Drosophila melanogaster: one gene and its partner. The protein of the gene in region 2 purifies or fractionates together with the protein of the main gene of each other region. This does not show direct contact. Each region holds a gene or a part of one and is shown on either strand. Other genes may lie near its edges. The genes, in order: Nup154 and Nup35.

Region 1 (8,072 bases), on a different chromosome or scaffold from region 2:
TCAAGGAACTTACGGATATCCTTGTTCTTGACGGTCGTGGACTGCTGGATGAGGGCGGCAGATCCGGAGACAGACTCAATATCGTTTCCCTCCACGATAAGTTCGTCCTTCTGGGCAGTGGAGTTGACCACGGTGACGCCAGGAGCCATCTCCACACGACGGATGTACTTCTCACCCAAGAAGTTACGGATCTCAATGACCGTGTTGTTCTCGGAGGTGACACAGTTGATGGGGAAATGGGCGTACACAGCACGCATCTTGTACTGGAATCCAAACGTGACTCCTGGCGAGAGAGAAATTGCAATTAATTGTGTGGTACTTTGAATGCAAATGTCTTTAGGAACCTAATGCCGAATCTAATTTGCCAGCACACACTGAAAATATTTACTAACTACTATATAGCATTTTTAGGTAATTTGTAAAGAAAATTGATATCTATGAATGGAGTTTAGTAAATCGTCTTCCCAGATATTATTATTAAATTCTCGTGTGATTGGCAAATGAAAGGCCTGGCTGTGAAAGTGTTCCTGTTGTGTTTACCCTAGCTGTACGCACCCTTGATCATGTTCTCGATGTGACTGCAGACGGTGCGGACGGCGGCCAACTCCTTCTTGGTTCCGAACCACTTCTCCACCTTCAGGGTGCGCTTGTCGGGCATGTACATGTCCAGAGCCAAGTGCTTGAAGCTGCGCTTCAGGGTGCCGCGGGTGCCGGTGATGGTCACCACACGGGCCTTCACCGAGGCCTTGATATCCTTAGGGATCTTCACGCACTGGTTGGAATTAATGGTACGCATCTTGATGACACTGTCGGCAAAAACATTAATTATTAGTTTATCAAGGCTACAAGTGCTTGTCACAGAGCATTCCAAACATCGAATCGCAGAGTTCACATCGGGCTAACAAAACGTGCGCTGCCTATTGTTTTCCAATTTGTTTATGGATCATCCATCCCAGCGGAAATGGAAAAACGGCGGCTCTTCAGTGCCACACGCCAATTGCCGTTTCACTCGATTCGATGTTTTGGGGCGCTTTTTCACACAAAACTTACGCTCCGTTAGTCCCTCGTTTGTATGACACAAATTCTGGATGGACTCCTCGCTGCAAGGGGTGGTTTTAGAGATATTTTGGGTTAAAATTTCAATAAAAATATAACGCGGAACACACTACTCACCGGAAACGGGGAAAAGAAAAGAAGGGAAATTTAATGTGGCTGTGTGAGGCGCACAAAATGCGCTAAATTTTGAGCGCCATGTGCCGTTGGGGTGCTGTTAACGTTACGCATTGTGCTGTTAAGCGCTAGAGTTTCTGTGTTGAGTTACAGTAGTCTTTTTTTTTTTTTTTGAAAAGAAGGCTTAAATCAAGTCTATTTGGGAAAGCGGAAAGTGGATTTTAATCACAATTATAAAATCCATTGGCAAAGCTTCGAAATGCTGAATTCATTCAGTAGTTTGAGGTTTTACCGATTTTAGAGAATAACACACCTGTTGCGCTCAACTGAGTTATACTCTTCACATTCTAATATTTTTATATTCTCAAAAGTTTCCGGCATGGGAAGTGCTTTTTTTATTATACTTGTATTAGCACAGTTACTGTTTATATAAAATTATCAACGTTTTTTCAAAGTATTTAAGCCCACTGAATATGCCTACTAAAACCATTATTGTCTATTAATATACGCGTCCTTATCATATAATATATATTAGCAGTAAAAGAAATTATTATTAAAATATTAATTTCATGCACGTTTGCAAATGTTTCTTGTGACAGACGATTTCATAATACCCCGCTAAGGCGCCTGAAATTGTGAAATCCATTAATATTCAATCGAAATATACCAAAACAATACCGAGAATGTGAGGATATCTGGTAACACTTAGCAGAAGGCGGGAGCGTGGGTACATTGAGCATCAGTCGACCAAATCTTCAGATTAGTTTGTAGTTTCATCCCAAAACAGTGGTCTGACGGCATTTTAAGTTAGCATTGCACCCGAGTTAGCCCGCCTCATCACAGTTTTCAGCACGATGACTCTTCCGCAAGCACAGCTGGACTTTTTCACGACGGCGACCAGTATGCTGGAATGGCATTACAATCTGGAGAGAAATAAGCCGGGTCTGCTGGAAGTATGTATTGGATACGGATGTTTATCAGCTTCTCCTCCTTTAATGATACGTTCTTTGTAGCTGACCGGCGTTAGCCAGCATGGGCGGGCCACGATGAGCGGACTTAATGACTACGATTACCAGAGCCTGTCGTTTTTGAAATCGGATAGAACACATAACCTACAACAAATGCGAACGGTGACCAAGTCGGCTATTCCCAACGAGATTCTGGAGCACTTTAAGCGTACGTATCCTGGGCTTCATAGCCCATAGATCTATCCGTTCCAATCTTCGATCCTACCTGTTGTAGACATAAAATGCCACTGCACCATGGGCCTCTTTCCGGAAATCGGACGTGCCTGGCTGACTATCGATTCGGAAATCTACATCTGGACGTTCAATCAGACGAGGGATGTGGCGTACTACGATGGCCTCAGTCATCTGATCGTAAGCGTTGGCCTGGTGAAACCAAAACCCGGCGTCTTTGTGCAGGACGTCAAGTACCTCCTGGTTCTCACTACGCCCATTGAGGTCATTGTCCTGGGCGTGACATTCGGTGAGAGCTCGTACAACGAAATGCAGCTGATGAACCGGCCAGTTTTTGTGATTGGTACCGACAACGTGTCCATCAGCGTCATCAAAGGAACGGATGACGGCCGCATCTTTTTGGGCGGTCGCGATGGCTGCCTCTATGAAATTTACTATCAGGCCGAGTCCAGTTGGTTTGGCAAGCGATGCAAGAAAATAAATCTCTCCCAAGGACTGGTCTCCTATATGGTTCCCAGTTTTTTGAAGGTCTTTTCGGTAACTATTGTCTTTACTTCAAAAAATGTCCGTAACTATTTAGCGCGATTTGTTTGCAGGAAGTGGATCCAATCGAACACATTGAGATCGATAACAGTCGCAAGCTTCTCTATGTCCTTACGGAAAAAGGTGTCATTGAGGCTTGGGACATCAGTACGAGTTACACGACAGCTCGAAGACTAGGTCGGATTACCCAGAACGATATTACGAATCAAGCAGTTAGTCTGATCACGTAAGTGCTAGTTTCGCAAAGAATTTAACTGTAGTATGGTTAATTAATAACCATTATTTAAACTTTAGGACTGTGGACCCGTCCATTTTTAAAAGTGTGAAAGCCATCTGCCCTCTGAGCGCCGACGATGCCGACAAACTACATCTTGTGGCCGTTACTCAGTGTGGTGTGCGGCTCTTTTTCTCCACAACATCGCTAAATGTGAAGCAACAATTTGGTCCCGCGGTTCCTTGCAGTCCAGGTGAGAATACAGGATTCGGTCAGCCAGCAGTTCAGCCACCACTGTCTCCAAATGCTGAGGCTCCTAAGGGACTTTATCTGCTCCACGTGCGTCTACCACCCGGCTACACCCCAAATGCCACCACCAACAAACCAAAGCAGGTCCATGCCGCTCACTACACGGAGGGAACCATGTTGATGATCACAACGCAACAGCATGAACAGGATCTCCTCTGGTCGCTCAGCTCTGCCCCATCGGTTAACTTTACCTACCTGGTGGAGTCGACGGCTCTGGAGAGCCTGGATGGAGTTGTTTGGGGATTGGCTGAGGTACATGAACCGTCGACGCCACAACGAAAGTCACCCTTAAATAGTGCCCGACACGCCCGCAAAGTAGCCCTGCTCACCAACCAAGGCACACATATCATAGAGGTGCTTAAAATGGTGGACGTACTGCGTCAGATCCTTCTGTCGTGCAATGGCCCACACCACGAGGAGGTGAAGATGTTCTTCCAGTCGCAGAATCAGCGAGAGGCATGTGTCACGGCTCTGCTGCTGGCCACATCGGATACTTATCGTGGCAGTGACGTTGCTTTGTGGGCCGCCCAGGCGTTTATGCTGTACGGCGGAGAGCCATGCTATCAGCATCAAAAGTTCCTGAACGCCAGCAACCGCAATATGGCTAATCAAACTCTAGGCCCGAATACGACGAATGTAAGGGAGCGTCAATCCATGTTTATGTCCACGCCAATGCCGAATAGCGTGGCAAATAGTCCGGTTGGTTTTCCTGGATCGCAGTTCAATCAGCCCATAAGTCCAAGTGAGTTAAATAAGATCTTCCAGATTGCGAAATAGTAAACACAAATATGTATTTATCAGTTGGAAATATGCAGCCACCACAGGTGGCAGTTAGTAACGAGAATTCCCCAATCGTTTTCTCGGCCAAACACGACGGACTTTACATGTATGTCTCCCGCATGCTGCATTCTGTTTGGCAAATGCGCTGTGTAAATGAGCAATTTTGCTCTAATCTAAGTCAGAGTGAGTGTGCCCTCTTGCTATCCGATCTGCGTTCCCTGCGTAGCTTTCTGGAAGTGCACTCTGTGCACGATATTTCCTGTAAGTCGTGAACTTTTTATTGCAAGTTAAGGTACTTACTTATTAATTATACAATTGTTGCAGCGACTACTCGAGTGTCATTTGATAACCATTTGGATAGAACCAATTCATATAACACCATCATGATGGGCAACACTTTGCTGCCAATTCCTGAGCAACGCGTATTGTCCGAGCAGGCTCAAGTAGAGGAAACACGTTCGCTTTCCGCTCTCAACCTATTTGTCAGTAAGTAAAGTTGGGATATTAAATCATAAAGCTTGAACTTATCTACCGCCGTTTGCAGAACATGCATGTGAGGTTATATCGCTGTGGAACATCCTAAACTCGCATTCCTTCCAGCTGATATGCGTGCAACTCAGTCCGGAACATCAGAAGTTGTTGACATGCTCCACCTTCCGGGATCTTCTGATTACACGTTCAGAGGTCTGCGCATTCTTGATCATCTCGCTGATCAATCTGTATCTGAAGGACGCGGCGGGAGTGTCTGAAGTGTCCAAGAACTTACGTGAGAACTGCCCCAACCTATACAGGCATGAGGATGACGTGACCTACAAGGCCACCGAGTTGTTGATGAATGCAAAGAATTGCACTTCGGCAACCGAAAAGGAACATATGCTGCGAACCACCCTGCATATGTGCAAGGAAGCTGCTCCCACATTGCCACTGCATAGTATTTGCATGCAATTCATATCGGCTGACTTCTTTGAGGGAGTGATCGAGCTTTCGGCTGTTTGTGCCTCAAAAAGTGATCCAGAGGAGGTTGGTGTTCATTTCTATAACAATGGGGAACCCGCCGATGATCGCGAGGGTTACACTTGCTTTGCCACAAGGTAACTTCTTTAATAGTTTTTTTTTTTCTTGGAAAAACTAATTATTTCCACATCTTAGGATGGCCTACTACAAGGAAGTGCAACTTATGCTGGACCATATCTACCAGAGAGTATGCAACAAGACGCACGTTCAGGATAAGTCTATAAATCCACTTAAAGGTACGGCTAAAGCGTCCGATGCAAAAAACGGTGCTACGCAAACGATTCCAAAAATAGTGGCCCATACCCTAAAGGTGAAAGACCCGCTCATTCATATAACGCTCTACGAATGGCTGCTGGCCCACGACATGCTCAAAGAGCTTTTAGACGTGGTTGAGCCGTCATTAGGAGAGTTCTTGCGGCGCAGTGTGTCGCAAAATGTAGATAATGTCGTTCTTATCGATTTGCTGTGGAAGTACTACGAAAAGAATAGCCATCATTCCCAGGCAGCCCATATATTGGACAATTTGGCTATGACACGCAGTGAAAACATTAATCTGGAGCAGCGCATTGAGTACTTGGTGCGTGCTGTTATGTGTATGCGAAATGGTAACGTTGGCTCTTCATTAAGCAATGGAATATTCCTGAAAGAGCTAGAGGATAAGGTACGTTATAAGATCTCTGGAAAGATGTGGTGACCTATATTTAATAACATAATTTAAAAATTCAGCTGGACATCGCACGAGTTCAAAAATCAGTGCTTGCCGCGATGACAGAGTTGGCTAGCGATAAGCTGGAGGCAGCTACGGCTGTTAAGGAACTAAACTATGCGTTGTACGACATAACTCAGCTATACCAGCACTTTGCGGAGCCCTTCGACCTTTGGGAGTGCCAATTGTCCATACTCAACTGCTCGCATCACAACGACCCCCTACTGATCGAGTCCGTTTGGGGCCAGATTATCAACAGCGTTGTGGATAAGCCGGGCACAACTAGTGAGCGCTGCAATAGGTTATTCACGAAAATCGAAATCTTGGTAAGGGAGTATGGCGAGTCTGGAGTTTGCTTTCCCTTTGCCTTTCTCATAAGGGAACTGGAAGTTAAAGCCTGCCAACTGCGATTTCCCGAGGGCATAGTGCCGGAAAAACTGGTGAGTATGAATTTGGACATTGAACTGCTCCTGGAATACTATTCGAGGTACGTATTGAAGGGTTTTCGCAGAGATAAAATTGTTTAAAGGCTAAACTTTTAAAAACTTTCAGAATGATTTCAATGAACGAACGAGTGTGGGCCAACGAGGGTAATGAGTGGCATTTAATACAATCCGTCATACGAGTGGTCTCGCTTCTGGCAGACAACGCACAATCTATTTGGTACCGGTCAAAGTAAGTGCAAAAGTAAAATGCTAGCCGATACGATTTACTTACATTCACATTTAACTTGCAGACGACGAATTGTTGGCAAGGCTCAAGACATAGTGGCCGGCTGCCTGAATATTTGCTACCAAAAGCCCGACACTAATCGTCTTCAACATTCACTCAAGGAACTTCAGAGTCAGCTGCAGCGGTTGTTGATTTAAAGCCGTCGGCCTGCGTTATTTTAATTAAATTTTTGAAAGTGCTGGACTAGACGTTAAGTTTGACTGAGATATATATTGTATTTGTATTAAACATGTTAAATAAATTGATTTCCCCACAGATCGTTGTTCGGATTCCGAGATGGCATGTAACTCATGAGGTGTCCATCATTTTTAGATGAGCTTCCGTCAGAATGCACTTCGTCATGTGACAGGAGCAAGGCACTGGATGCTCCTCTGTGTTGGGGTCTAGCAAATCCACCTCCAGATTGTATTTACGCATATCGGCAGCACTGCGCTTCATTGTGATTTGAAATGCAATGGGTGACTTCTCCTCCAGATTTTCGCAGGATTCCTCGGGCAGGACGACTACACACTGCTTCCAATGCGTTGGCGGGGATAGCGGCGATGTGCTTAGAACAAAATCTTCGCCAGGAAACTGTACATCGAACCAAATGCAGAAGCCCTGGTGATTGCCCGCCTTCTGGGCTGTTATTACCTCCTTGAACTGAATGCTGTCCAAATCGCTGGCTTCCACATCCAGCAGATTCATCCAGTGAAAGACGACGCCCTCGTGCAGAAGATCTTGCGGATTCAGCTGTGTAATCTCCGGTCGGGATGACTTTTGGGTTCTGAGTTTTCTGGCAAACGTGTCCATTTTGATGCCGTCCACGTTGTGCCAATCATCGAAGAGCGATGGTACCGAGCAGGGTGCCACGAAAATTGTGCACTCGCTGGGGAACAGGAGTCCACCCTCCTTGAGGAACTTGTCCCGGGCCAGGAGAACCGAGTCCAACATGCCCTCGTGCAGCAGGTAGAAGCCCATCCACTCGGACACAATGATGTCCACCTTTTCCGCCTCGGCAGGCAGTACGAATTCCTCAACACGCGACTGGATCACCTTCACCACGTTCGTCAGGCCGTTATCCTCAATCAAATCCAGCGCAACTTTGGTGGCCACATTGGATGCTTCTACGGCGTAGACCAAACGGGCTCCTGCTTTCGCACAAAAGGCGGACAGAATCCCTGTGCCGGCACCAACATCCATTACGATCTTGTCCTTGAACAGATCCTTATTCCCCAATATCGCATTGTAGTAGGCTTCTTGCCGAGGACGATCCTTCAGCATGAGCTCGTGGATCTGTAGTTTGGTCACTATGAGTACAGTTTCACAAGAAGATCTATAATCTTATTTACCTCCAAGTTTTCATACTCATCGAAATAAGTGTTCGCCATGATTTAAAGTTGCAGTTATCAACACATTAACATTA
Region 2 (3,932 bases):
CTACTTGGTCACAGGTGAGTCCGGGTCACCAGCCCGCAGCCACAGCAAGCAGCTAATCAAGGGCTAATCCACAGAGGGCTTCAAGGAGGCCGCCGAGAAGTTCCAGCACGAGGCGGATCTGGAGCCCAGCGTGGAGCTGAGCAGCCTCGATGGGCGCATACTCATCCGCGAAGCCGTGCAGGCGGGCCGCATCGAGGAGGCCACCCAGCTGGTGAACCAGCTGCATCCTGAGCTGCTCGGCAGCGATCGCTATCTGTTCTTCCACCTGCAGCAGCTGCAGCTCATCGAGCTGATACGCGCCGGCAAGGTGGAGGAGGCCCTGTCCTTTGCCCAAAGCAAGCTGTCCGAGTCCGGCGAGGAGGCCATGTTTGAGCTGGAGCGCACCCTGGCCCTGCTCGCCTTCGAGAAGCCGCAGGAGAGCCCCTTCGCCGACCTGCTGGAGCAGTCGTACCGCCAGAAGATCGCTAGCGAGCTCAACTCGGCCATCCTGCGCTGCGAGCAGAGCGAGGACTCCACGCCCAAAATGATGTTCCTGCTCAAGCTGATCTTGTGGGCCCAGTCCAAGCTGGACAGCCGCTCCATTAGCTATCCCAAGATGAAGAACCTAGAGACGGCGCACCTGGAGCCCAAGTAGAAGGGCAGCGCCACCCCCTTCGACTTCTTTTGCTAATGCTATTGCTAATATATCTCCATTTAATAAGTATGTATATGTATGTATGCTGGATGTAGGCAGTGAATTATTAAATAAGTAGCCGGAAACTCCATCACTCCATCTATCCATCCATCCGACTTGCCATCAGCCCTTCTTACCAGCCGAATATCAGGTCCATGGCCTTGTCCATCAGACCGGAGCTCTTTTGCGGCACATCCTTCTGCGGCGATATGATGTTATCTTTGCGGGCCAGCTTGTACGACTGCTGGGAAAACGGTCGAATCGCACTGGGGCTGGTGGGGGGATCTCCTATCTCTGCATTGGGCACAGAGCCGATGTTCTCCTTATCGATCACCGACCTATCCGTGCAGCGCGACACGCCCACCATCACATTGCCGGCGATGATTTTTTCGTTGTAGTTCAGCGCCTTGTCGCTCTCGATGCGCGAGGAGTAGCGCACATACATCCAGTTGCCGTTCTGCGGGGCATGCACCACGTCCACAATGGTGCCGCAGACGGTGAAGTGCTGCAGCACCATGGAGCCGGCCCCCGGCGGGAACCCGAAGATGGTAACCCAAAAGTCGGATAGGCGCGAGTTGCCGCCCGTCGTCACGGATGTGCCCAGGCCTCCAGCTGGCGAGGCAGTGGCTCCAAGTGGCGAGCACAGTGCTCGCATCGAGGCATTGATGGCATTGGGCGCCCCGGGTGCGAACGAGTCATTCGTGTGATAGCTGCTCTGGTAGCTCTGGTTCGGTGACTGCAACTGCAGCATGCCAAGATGGTTCTTCTTCTTCGGGGTGACGGACTGTTCGCGCAGCGAGTCGAAGAGTCCCTGGGTGGGCGGTCCCGTCTGGTGGTGGCTGTGCGTCTGGCCGTGCGCGGTCGTTGAGCTGTTGGCGCCCACAGCCGTGTGGGCGCCTCCTTGGGCGGCGAACAGAGTGCGTGTGCTCAGAGCGGAGCGGTTGAGCTCGTGCGGACTGCTGCCGCCGGGCGAGGTGGCTGCGGGGCATGTGTTCATATAGCCAATGCGTACGAGCTGCTTGATGCCGGCTACTTACCGAAACTTATATTAGAGCGCCCGGTTTTCGGGGACAGCGTGTTCTTGTGCGGCGTTATACCTTGCGGATCGCCGAGCAGAAAAGGTGGCAGATACTGGGTCTGGTTGGAGCCAGGACTGTTGACCGGGCTGCCCAGATTCATTGGCTCCATATCGAATGCGAATATTAATTATAATAATTATAACGGCGAAAAACGAAAAAGCGTTGCATTAACAAGGACGCCACAGCTGTAATCGGTTAGTGCGACCAGGCTGGGCTGGGGTCGAAATGCTAGAGGTGGATGCCAACATCGATGTCATCGATGTTTTCGAAAAATCACAAACATCGATGTTTTTCAAAGAATCATCGATGTTTTTCCATCTTTACTGCGCATCGTAGGTTAAAAGTGTTTAAATTGTGAGTATAAATTAAATTTCCAAATTTTCCAATTTCCATTTATTAATAGCATATTGCAAATTTTCAGTGACTTGCTGGTGGTCTTGGCTGGCGTCGTGGAAGACGACACGTATATTTATGCATGTATGCATGCGTGCACCTGCTCGTATGCATACTGGCTTACTTTTCTATTGAATTACTTTTCTATTGAATTGCATTAATTAGTATATTTGATTTATAGGAGCAATTATTGGACCAGGGGCGGATAAAAACGTAGACGGCAATAAGCTTGTCATGTTTAGTTATAGTACTGCCTTTTTATTTAAGCAATTATAAAAAAATAATAATCTTTAAGTTAAGCAGTTAATTTTTTTGTTTTTATTGAAAACATCGATGTCCGCCAACATCGATTTCTCCACCTCTACTAAATACGCCGTTCTTCGCAGTCGCGCCGCGCAACTTGCACTTTTGCAGCTCCCCGACTGGCAGTGGGCACATTTCGTTTCCCCCAAACGGTCACTCTAGCGGCCACCTTTCAAACAACAACATCACGCGTCGCGTCTCCGTCTTTTTCCTTTTTTTTTTTACATTAGACTACACTACGTTCTCCTGGCGTTTCGTTCGTGTCGCGCGTGATTAAATTGGCAACTGAGAACAATAAGAAGAAATCACAGTGTGCGAGCAGCAACAAACACAACGATTAGTGTAAACAAAACACATCGACAACAACAATCCAAATTACAATATAGGCAAAGAAGAAGAAACGAAAGGCAGGACCTTCGCAGCAAGAGCGAGACAGCAAAGGATCGGGATCGGGAGAGAGCGTGAGAGTGCGACTTGATCAACGGGATACAGGGTGACATGTGGAGTCCGACGCACTGTAGTGTAACGGGTAAGTGGGGGCGAAAAGCGGGGGACACCCGTTTTAGTATTTGTGTTTTTTTTTTATTTTTTTTTTACGGCGAATAAATCGCATTAAAACTTAAACTCGTTTGTGCCGCGTGTGTATGGGTGTGTGGCCTGCGCCGTTGTGTTGGTGTGTGCTTAAAATATTGTCATGACGGTCGTGTTGTTCCTATTGCTTTTGCTGCAGACGTACCAATTCGAAATTTCACTTTTTCCCCACCGCGCGCTTCCTCCTTTTGCCATTGCCTCTTGCTCTTCCTCTTGTGTTTTCCTGACTCCAGCAATTGCCTTTTTATCAGGCTTTTCTGGCTGATAAGATAATTCCCTTGCTCGAATGCGCACTTACTCATCGCATTGCTAGAAAATTGCTCATGCTAAGCGCTCCCCTTATGTATTTGCATCGCCTTCCGCCCCTTGGCATTCCTTAGCATACGCCCATGGTGGCGCTTTTTTGGTGCCTCTTGTTTACCTTTGCCATTGTTTTCGTTTTGCGTTTTCTTCAGGGCTAAGTGTCAATGAGAAATCGCGAATTCCGATTCCAAATTCGTGACAAAACACAAAGCGCGCTCATTCTGCTGTTCCCAGTCCAGTGATTATGGAAACAAATAATAACTGAAAGCCAAAGCATAGATATTTTCATATCTCCAACATGGCCAATAAGACCCTTTAAGAAATGTTTTCCGCAATGTTAGTTATTGGTTGCAATAGTGGCCACTGGGCGGCCAAATGAGTAAATGAGTCACGAATTGTGGTTCAATCTAGAGCTGCGTGGAATTTACACAAATCAAGATGATAAATACACTGGGCTCCATTGACATGAACGGATCCAGCTTGTTGTGATCTTGAACTTGCCCCGCTATCAGTTAGTACGTTCTTTGCCTCAATTCGCTCGTTTCATTTATTTTGCATATTTGCACAGCGCACAGTGTTTTATTCCAGCA

The links.
Region 1: the proteins of Nup35 (region 2) and Nup154 purify together in Drosophila melanogaster (affinity purification with western blotting, with the first as the bait; one study listed by BioGRID). This does not show direct contact.

The regions. Positions count from the first base shown.
Region 1 is NT_033779.5:11,002,956-11,011,027, forward strand, and holds Nup154 (nucleoporin 154kD), read left to right. Parts: upstream 1-1,864; 5' UTR 1,865-2,024; coding exon 2,025-2,123; intron 2,124-2,183; coding exon 2,184-2,346; intron 2,347-2,412; coding exon 2,413-2,906; intron 2,907-2,965; coding exon 2,966-3,138; intron 3,139-3,206; coding exon 3,207-4,177; intron 4,178-4,236; coding exon 4,237-4,476; intron 4,477-4,539; coding exon 4,540-4,701; intron 4,702-4,759; coding exon 4,760-5,306; intron 5,307-5,364; coding exon 5,365-5,890; intron 5,891-5,955; coding exon 5,956-6,422; intron 6,423-6,487; coding exon 6,488-6,610; intron 6,611-6,671; coding exon 6,672-6,804; 3' UTR 6,805-6,955; coding exon of another isoform or gene 6,956-7,942; 3' UTR 7,943-7,966; downstream 7,967-8,072. Other genes in the region: RpL9 (ribosomal protein L9), read right to left, coding at 1-283, 556-796; Art8 (arginine methyltransferase 8), read right to left, coding at 6,956-7,942, 7,999-8,037. UniProt on the Drosophila melanogaster protein: Component of the nuclear pore complex. Has a role in the organization of the inner nuclear membrane proteins at the nuclear envelope.
Region 2 is NC_004354.4:18,646,235-18,650,166, reverse strand, and holds Nup35 (nucleoporin 35kDa), read right to left. Parts: upstream 1,986-3,932; 5' UTR 1,862-1,985; coding exon 1,711-1,861; intron 1,652-1,710; coding exon 807-1,651; 3' UTR 678-806; downstream 1-677. Other genes in the region: Hou (houki), read left to right, coding at 1-14, 75-634; Rip11 (Rab11 interacting protein), read left to right, coding at 2,947-2,977. UniProt on the Drosophila melanogaster protein: Functions as a component of the nuclear pore complex (NPC). May have a role in the organization of the inner nuclear membrane proteins at the nuclear envelope together with Nup154.